Daphnia pulex: one gene and its partner. The protein of the gene in region 2 interacts with the protein of the main gene of each other region in a pairwise test. Links are inferred from orthologs where the notes say so. Each region holds a gene or a part of one and is shown on either strand. Other genes may lie near its edges.

Region 1 (4,351 bases), on a different chromosome or scaffold from region 2:
AAAACATTCAAAAATAGAATGAAGAAAACTGGCCGACTCCAAACATAAAAAATTCTTCCTGCTTTTTTTTTCACACTCGGCAGATTCATCTAGAATACTAATTCTATCAAAGAATGATGGGCTTCTTTTTCTGCCATTCTCTCACACCACTACCCAGCTCAGCCGTTGCTCGATTTTGTGTACAGATGGTTCAAAAACAACGAAAATTTAAGGGATGAAAAAGAGCAAAACTAGACACAAACGATGAAGGTTGAACCAAACAAGTTTTTTTTTATATGAACGAAAGGGTAAAAACGAGAGGAAGGGTTCTGGTTGATGGTGAATGTATCGAATTTCTTCTACAGCTGACGAAAAAATCACTTATTTTTTTAAGACAAATAATTCCCCATGTTATGTTTTTTTTTCTTTTCTTAATCTGCCGATTCGTATTCTGTTTTAAATTAACTTGGTCCAGTATTCCATCCCCGAGCAGCACGGCAGTTCACAACACTACACTGGACGAGCGCAGCTTATATGCATGGGAACCAAAGTGTTTTTAGACAGTAACGTTGACGTTAGTTTTTTTTTACACACAAAATATTTTTAAAAAAGCAAAAAAAAAAGGAAAAAAAAAACTATTTGAAACAGAAATCTGGTGATGTTATTTTCCCTTCACAAAATGGATGCCGCCCTCGAAAGATCAATGACAACTGGCTTATTTTCTTTTTTTTTTTTTCTTTTTCTTGTTTTGCGTATCGTCAGCCGGGTGTTGTTGTAGTCTTACAAACAGTTGCTTTGAAAAGTATGGTACGTTTTGTTGTTGATTGTTGTTTCGGTAAACACAACCACGTCCACGCTACACACGGCTCACTGGGGAAGGGGCACGACACCGCAGGATTTATTCATTTCGAGGTCATCATGGTCACGAATTCTGCAAAGATAAGAAAAATCGTGTTAGTATCATCGATTCCACTATAAACTAGACAAAAGTGGGGGAAAATAGGAGTTGTCCTGCATCGACTATCAAATTTTAAAACGTCTTGGGAATTCAGGTCACATATTAAAGGACCAGGTTGGACTGAATCTTTACGACGAAAGACGATGAATATTTTAGAGGTAACGCGCTAATTTCGGTTTAAAATCGATGCATCATCATGTTTCTAACACCAAAACTGTTTGTGAATGCCTCCAAAATCAGATTAAAATCGGATTAGGTTAAGCCATGGTTGTTAAATAGAAAATTTATAATTGAGTTACGTTGTCACATTGACATTTGTCACAGAGTCTAGAAATTATGCGTCTGTGTACCAACAGAATATTAAAGGTGCGTCTTTGATAGTTTCTAGACACATGGAACCAAAAGCAGCTTTTTAAATTAATATTTCTACTTCCATATTCCACATTATTTTTTGGTCCATCTGGGAAAGTATGGGACCCGCACGTGCATGCAAGAACCTCCCTAAAAATGTGGATATCTGACTATTTGTAAATGCAGGGCTTAGTTAAAAATCTAAGGGTTTAACAGGCGGACAGACGATGTCGACTGCGATAAAAGAAAATTGGATGCAGGTGAGCATGACATATCATAGTTTTTACCTTCATAGTTAACTTGGCCGTCTCCGTCGATGTCAGCTTCGCGAATCATTTCATCGACTTCTTCGTCGGTCAACTTTTCTCCTAGATTGGTCATGACGTGCCGGAGCTCAGCAGCTGAAATGAAACCATTGCCGTCCTTGTCAAACACACGGAAGGCTTCTCGAATCTCTTCCTCGCTGTCGGTATCTTTCATTTTGCGAGCCATCATCGTCAGAAACTCGGGGAAGTCGATTGTTCCGTTACCTTTGGATTAGAATGATAAGAACTACATTAGATTTCTGTATGATTAGAAACAAAATGAACAATAAGAAATGAACGTGGTTCAAAACAATTTTCATTGATATTGAAAACATGCAGCCAGTATTCTCATTCAAGAAAAGTTCTGCGAGCAGAGAGCAGATATTTCAGGAAGTCTTTTGACTGCCAAGAATCAAGCAGTCAAGCCACTTAAGCAGCAAAAACAAACTTGTCAGAATACTTGATAATCTATTGGAGTTGCAATAAATTAGAAAAATTGAATAATGTGTGTACCATCAGCATCAACTTCATTGATCATGTCCTGGAGTTCAGCTTCAGTGGGGTTCTGTCCAAGCGACCTCATGACAGTTCCCAACTCTTTGGTGGTGATGGTGCCGTCACCATCTTTGTCAAACAAGGAGAAGGCTTCCTTGAACTCAGCAATCTGTTCTTCTGTCAACTGGTCAGCCTGTAGAGGTACAAATGTTTCTGGTTAATATAATTGTCTTGAGAATTCCAAGACATTTCAACATGAGTAATAAAGAGAGAGCCTTGATTGGTATTAACATTGCTCAAACCAGACTGTGTAAATTTGCCCTGAATAAATCTAGCAGTACCAACTTTCTCTTTACTACTGGCCTTGTCTGGTCAGTGTGCAACCATATTGTTTGAGAGCTTCAAGTCTGGTTGTGTGCCGAGCTTAAATTGACGTGTGCAGCAGCAAGCTGTTACGAGCTACTCCAAAATTAGAAAAGAAAGAAGCATTCGACATTTCGAGGGCGATGACGGCCAAATTGCCCCCTGTTTCAGTACAACGAGCCGGCAATGTCAAAAGCGACAACTATCTGAGAAGAAAATAGGAAAAAAGAAAAAAAAAAAGAAAAAGGTCGTTTGATTTTACTTCCCCCTCCCCCCGACCCACCCGACTCTTCTCCAGTCATAAAATCTATATTTCCGTCAAGTGTAGGCTAGGCACTAAAAATGGCGGAATTTTCGTGTGCCGGTTGGGAGAGGATGCCGACGTGGAAGTACTTACCATAGTGGATATTATTGGATGAAATAGAGAGTTGTCGGGGAAAAAAACTAAGTTATCCTGGACGACGGGGCAGGAGAGAGAGCAAAGGCGGTACCACAACGAGCAGCGACGGGGGACGTTCACCAAGCACAACAGACGACAGCCAACTGAGCCGAATGCTCGGAGGAAGAGAGAGAGTGGGAAAAGAGGCGGGGCCCGACTAGAGGCGCCACATGCACATTGCGGAGAGGAGGAAGAAGCCCTTTTCTCTCTCTACGTATATTGACCGGGTATAGCGCAACCTTCTTACTATTTCGAATCCTCAAAAAATAAAATAAGTTGACTTTTTTTTTTCTCTCCTTCTTTTACCGTAATTCTTTTTCTAGACTTTCAAAATCGGGAGTCATTGAGCAATGCGGTGGTACACACACACACACCGTCAGGGACGGATCAACTCCGATACAAGTTGTCATATGGCCGTCCCAGCGTCGCAGTAGTATGTATGCAGCACAGTAGACGTCAAGAATGATGAGTATAAGCTCTAAGCTTTTCTATATACCGTCAGTCCATATGAGTTTCGGGTTTTATTATATATATGGAGAGACCATCAGCCCTGAATAGAAATGATATTGCGCTAGAGTGGCGAATGTTATTTGGCGTAATTGCAAAGGCTCGGCGTTATGCTTGACACGCTTCAGTGCGAGACGGAATGTTGTTGACCTTGCTGCTGCTGCTGCTGCTAAACTATACACATGTCTTCTCTCAAAGACATCCTATATATGCGTGGGCTATATTGGTTGCCAATGTTATAAATTCGTACCAACTCTCAGACCGGAAATAAATTCGACCATTGTTACAGGGCACCCCTGTGGGTAAAGTTGGGGTTTTTTTTTATAAAAGAAGTCTAGCCACCAAACTAATAGAAAATCTACATCCTTTTCAAAAGGCTAGAGTAAACTCGCACACTATGGGAAATTCTTGATTTTGTAACTTTCACTTTATACATCCGCCTTGGAGATGTAACATCAAAAACGAAAGTGAGATGTTTCAATGAGAAAATATCATCAAATGAAAGCTATTATTGTAGTACGAATAATGGGATCTATTCAACTGCGCCCCAAAACGTGTCTTTTGTGTAAAGTGTGTACGTATTTATTCATTTTCATTTCGAAACCAAATTCCGACTTAACGTTTCAATCAATCCGCACAAAGTAGCTAAAGTTGAAAAAGTTGGCGCACACACACACACGGGGAAAAAAGGGAAGGAAACGGAATAATGTGCAACTTGTGTTTGCCGTTAACTGAATTATGCCGAAATATCTGAGTGTAAAGTCAAATATTTAAATTCCATCATCGTGCAGAAAGTGTTGGGTGCTGCAGACTTTTCAAATGTAATGCAATTAACTTTCCGCATTGGTACGACATCGCGCCAGTGAAAATAAAAAAAAGGTACGCGACGAATTCGTTCACGCAAGTCAATAAAATGGGAAAAGTCATTGGTAAAATCTAATTTCTATTTGCGGC
Region 2 (4,572 bases):
ACGAAGAATTGCTGCAGATTCTCGTTGGCGTAGTTGATGCAAAACTGTTCGAAACTTTATTCGATCCAAAAACACAAATTAGATTCCGCCATTTCAACTAGTGTCCAGTCAATTCTTTAATACCTGTTGATGCTGAAATTTTCGAAACCAAAAATGTCCAGGACTCCGATGGAGCTCGTGTCCATTTCGTCGGATTTGCGGATGGCACAGTTCAACTTGGTAACAATCCAGATGAAGAGTCGCCCGTAAATACCTTTAGCAAAAGCATCTCGAACATCTACAGCTTGCACTTTGGATAACCTCGATACCTGCAAATACAATTCAATTATCTCTGTCAAATGGGAATTCAATTTCAATATTAACTGACCACTGAATCTCCCTGGGCGAAAATGGTTTTAGTGGTAAGGGCGTCAACCATCTCTCGAGGATCAACACCCAGCAACTTGGAGACGCGAATAGCGTTGGAAGGATCTGGAATTTCACTAGCGTCCATATTGCCTGGACAAAGGGAAGAATGGCGAGAATGTTTCCAACGTTAATATTTTGTTTACCGAGTCGTGAACAAAATGTTAAATGAACTTCTTACTGATGACAACTCCTTTGAAGGAAACGTTTCCCAGGTGCAAAAGAGCGGCCAGAACTCGAAGAATGTCGGAAATTTCCGGCTCAGTAAAGAGCAGGACTTTCATGGCCGATCGGATTTCGGCAAATTCATTGGCGTCGTTCCTTCCCTGGCACGTCGTGCTGTTGCCCTGTAACATGTTAAAAAACCCAATTTTGAATAACGCATTCCACTATATAACAAATACAATGGGAATAAATTGAACTTGTATATACCCCAGTGAGGTATTTGTATTGGCTGGCATCCTGCAAATCGAATTTCTGCTTGTCTTCTTTGGTCATGCCGGCCAGCATGCAATAAAAGATGTGGTAGTTCCTCTCGCCAGGATTCTGGGCCACAATGCGCGATTTCTCCAGCAGGTACTGCTCGATATTGGCTCCTTCGATTGTGCCGTGTTTGTTGAAGCTGATGTCGATGTACTTGCCGAAACGAGACGAGTTGTCATTCCGCACAGTTTTGGCGTTTCCGAAGGCTAATTAACCAAATCAAATGACGTCATTTCATACTTTAAGGGGAATTATTTTAATAAATACCTTCCAAGATGGGATTAGCTTCAAGGATTTGCTGCTCGATCCACGAATGTTTCCCGCTAATGGCCGCCAGGTATTGCAAAATCAATTTGGTACTTTCAGTTTTACCAGCGCCAGACTCACCGCTGATAACGCAATAAGAAAAGAAATAAATGATTAATCTCGGGTAACCCAGGTGTGCGCTGAGAATTGAGAACATCAAGAAACAACCAAGACGAAATGGAATTTCGACCGTAATTTTATGTAATCTATTAAACAATGTACAAGTCTCACCTGATAACGATGCACTGATCCTGTCGAAAGCGTTTCATTTGAGAGTAGCAATTATCGCCGATGGCGAAAATGTGCGGAGGCAATTCGCCGATTTTCCGCTCCCTGTACATTTTAATTTGCTCGGCCGTGTAAATGGGCAGAATCTGGTAGGGATTGACGGCCACCAGAATCGAACCGGTGTAAGTCTGTTACCAAAAAATCAAATCAACAATTGATCATCTCATAAAAATAAATCAATGAAATGAGTCTATGACGTACGTATATGATGCTTTCATTGTAGCGAATGTGCAGATTGCGCAAGATACCAGCCTCGTGCAAATCACCCAGTGAAATCATATCCTGGACGCCCTGAATGGACGTCGGATGCATGGCTTTGATGCGTCGTTCCGGCGTCAGCCATTGTTCCTGCGCAATTCAATTTAAAAAATGTGACACAAAATTGTGAATGACACTTTTAAGCAAATAAATACACAAGAAGGAGGAGGGGAAAACCAATTTGACGTTGTGACGTTCTAAATTGCTCTTATCTGTGTGGCTTAGATCGAGACTTGCGGTCACCAACGCATTTCGAAACGGTTTGAAACAAAAGGTGGGGTGCTGTTGCCTCACCATTTCGTGCTGACGGCTGATGGGGAAAAATAAAAGACAAAAAGGTGACATAAGACTTACTTTGCCGTCGTCGTCGACGACCTGGATCCGTTTGCCCTCGGCCGAAACGACCCGGGCCCCGATCGCCACATCGAATTCTCGTTTGGTGCTGGGCTCGATCCAGACATAGTCGCCCTAATAGAAATGAAATTAATTTCCAAATTGATTATCATATTAAACGAGCAAGTGTCACAACATTTTGTTATATTTTTCCATCGAAATTGGAACGAATCTCCACGGGGGGTGGACTTGGTTCACAAAGAAAAAAAACAGACAAAAATGAAGTTGTAACGGGATTGTGGACGAAGCAGAGCGGAGGATTGTCGTGCAATAAGAATGGGACATTGACATGATCATTGGCCCGTATGTCCACCTTCTGTTTGGCAAGGGGAAAACCGTGCTGACCTCGAAATAACAACAAAACACATGGGCACTGGGCAGTTTGGAAAGTTGGACGCGGCAACAAGTGCCCACCAGTTCTAGGGAAAATTAGGAACTCACGTAGGTAAGAATCTGAGTCGACGAGCCATCGCCTTCTTCCGACATCTTTTCTTCCAGCCGCCAACGTTAATCTCGACTTGACAAATAATGGCGACAACACAGAGAGACCATGGACGATCGTGACTTGATTGAACTACAATCAACGTATGCCCTTAATTTCCAAAATCAAAACTTTCACTCTCCCGAATAATCAGAAACTTGAGAATTCAACCGACGTCAAACCTTCAAACTCGATGCGAACAAACTGTTTGATGTGATAATGGCGAGCAGGGAGAGGCCAGCACACCGTCTTATCTCTACTTCCCAAATGATAAGGAAAAAAATGAAAATGACTCAAAGTTCACGTGATCAATTGGCATTCATTAACTGACGTCTAGTCCAAACACACATTGCGTATCACAAGGATTGGGGAAAAAATCCCCCCAACGAAAAAAACATTCCTTGTTTGATTACATTCTCTTTTATTTTTCCACTTATTGCTTGGCTACCGCCCTGAACAGTCAGCTGTTTTCTCAGTGTCCACTTCTTTTTCTTTTTCTTAGTAGATATTTGGAAACACTCGCAGAGCCCAAAAGGTATACTGTATACGTAATAATAATAAGAAAAGAACAGCAGGTGGATGGCCGCAAGAGTCTAAAGCACGTACGCCTTGCAACGAAAAGAGATTCCAACAACCGCCTTTGAATGAGTTGGCAGCCACACTGAGAGTCGCAGCTAGGGGAAAAATATATATAAAACATTAAGTTACAGCTATATACTATACTCGCTGAATAGATTCAGATTCCCTCTCTGTGTTCTTCAGCCAGCAGTTTTACCTCCGGTTCTTTTCTTTTTTTTCAGTTTTCTCGACTTTTAGTTCCGCGTCGTTGCATCTTTCAGAATACGTTGTCCTTAATCGTTAAACGTTCATTGGCGGTAGACGACACATGTGTGTAGAGACACACACACGCACTCCCTCATCTCGTGTGTGTGTGTGTGTATAGCATTAGCTGCGATATTGTTTTCCGATTCTTTTTCACGGTGGTAAATGACGATGACGACCTCCTATATACTATACACTGCGGTCGCACCATCCAAGAGAAAATACCCAGACTGTTGCCGAACCCGTTATCTCCTTCAGTACATGTTTTTGAACCTTCTTCCGTCAACTGACTTTTGTGGGTGTCTCTTCTTCTTCTTCTTCTTCTTCTTCTAGTCCATGCGCTATTACACAATATGGCCCTGGAAGAACAATATAACCAAAGAAAAGGCAACAACATCTTGGTGGTGGAGGTCTCACTTCTCTTGTGTGACTCTTGTGGTGTAACCTAAACACATAACAGCAGATGTGTGTACCGGAAAAAGAAGAAAAAAAATCATCACTGCGCGACCCAATTGCGTCACTTTTTTCTGTCTGTCTTTGTTGTTTCGTTCTGGGTTTCACAGTTGGATTTGTTTTTGTTTTTTCTCTCTCCTAAAAATGTTTTCCAACCCAAACAAAAATGTCTAACCCCCTTTCGCTTTATTAGGAATCATCAGTCGGCCGATATTTTAAAAACCGGACGTCCGCTCGCCCGCCATTCAAAACCGGAAATAAAACTTCCGTTTCGGATATATGAAAGGCGCGTTGTTGAGTTTCATCGGCTGTTTAATTTTACTGAATGTCTGGCTGCGGTCGACCAATGTATGTTACGTGTGTCGGGCGTTGGCTTTTTTTGCTGTTCATCTCTCAGTGGAGAAGAGAGCGCAGGTACACCATCACCGGGAGAGAGAGGGTCATTGACCAACAGGCAGCCAACAACAGCCGTGTGCTCAGCAGCCGCGTGATGAAGTAAATACATTTACACAAACACCCACGGCGGAGAAATGTCAATTTCAATAGCGGCCATGCCCATTATTCAACATTTCCATGACTGACATACGTTGCCTTTTCTTTCTTTCCTCCATGAACCAAGTAACAACAAGATGACTAGGAATTTTTTTAAAAAATGAATGACTTACCCGAGAAACGATGACCAT

The links.
Region 1: the proteins of myosin-VIIa-like (region 2) and calmodulin interact in binary tests that used the Drosophila melanogaster proteins (3 or more experiments, as listed by UniProt). The link is inferred for Daphnia pulex from reciprocal best matches to the Drosophila melanogaster genes ck and Cam.

What each region holds. Positions count from the first base shown.
Region 1 is NC_060018.1:7,623,863-7,628,213, reverse strand, and holds the start of calmodulin, read right to left. Parts: upstream 3,094-4,351; 5' UTR 2,852-3,093; coding exon 2,849-2,851; intron 2,282-2,848; coding exon 2,107-2,281; intron 1,819-2,106; coding exon 1,576-1,818; intron 911-1,575; coding exon 882-910; 3' UTR 1-881. UniProt on the Drosophila melanogaster protein: Calmodulin mediates the control of a large number of enzymes, ion channels and other proteins by Ca(2+). Among the enzymes to be stimulated by the calmodulin-Ca(2+) complex are a number of protein kinases and phosphatases.
Region 2 is NC_060022.1:1,966,262-1,970,833, reverse strand, and holds the start of myosin-VIIa-like, read right to left. Parts: upstream 2,831-4,572; 5' UTR 2,620-2,830; coding exon 2,575-2,619; intron 2,209-2,574; coding exon 2,095-2,208; intron 1,831-2,094; coding exon 1,684-1,830; intron 1,611-1,683; coding exon 1,426-1,610; intron 1,278-1,425; coding exon 1,156-1,277; intron 1,095-1,155; coding exon 838-1,094; intron 753-837; coding exon 587-752; intron 499-586; coding exon 368-498; intron 309-367; coding exon 124-308; intron 55-123; coding exon 1-54. UniProt on the Drosophila melanogaster protein: Myosins are actin-based motor molecules with ATPase activity. Unconventional myosins serve in intracellular movements: can function in cells as a single-molecule cargo transporter.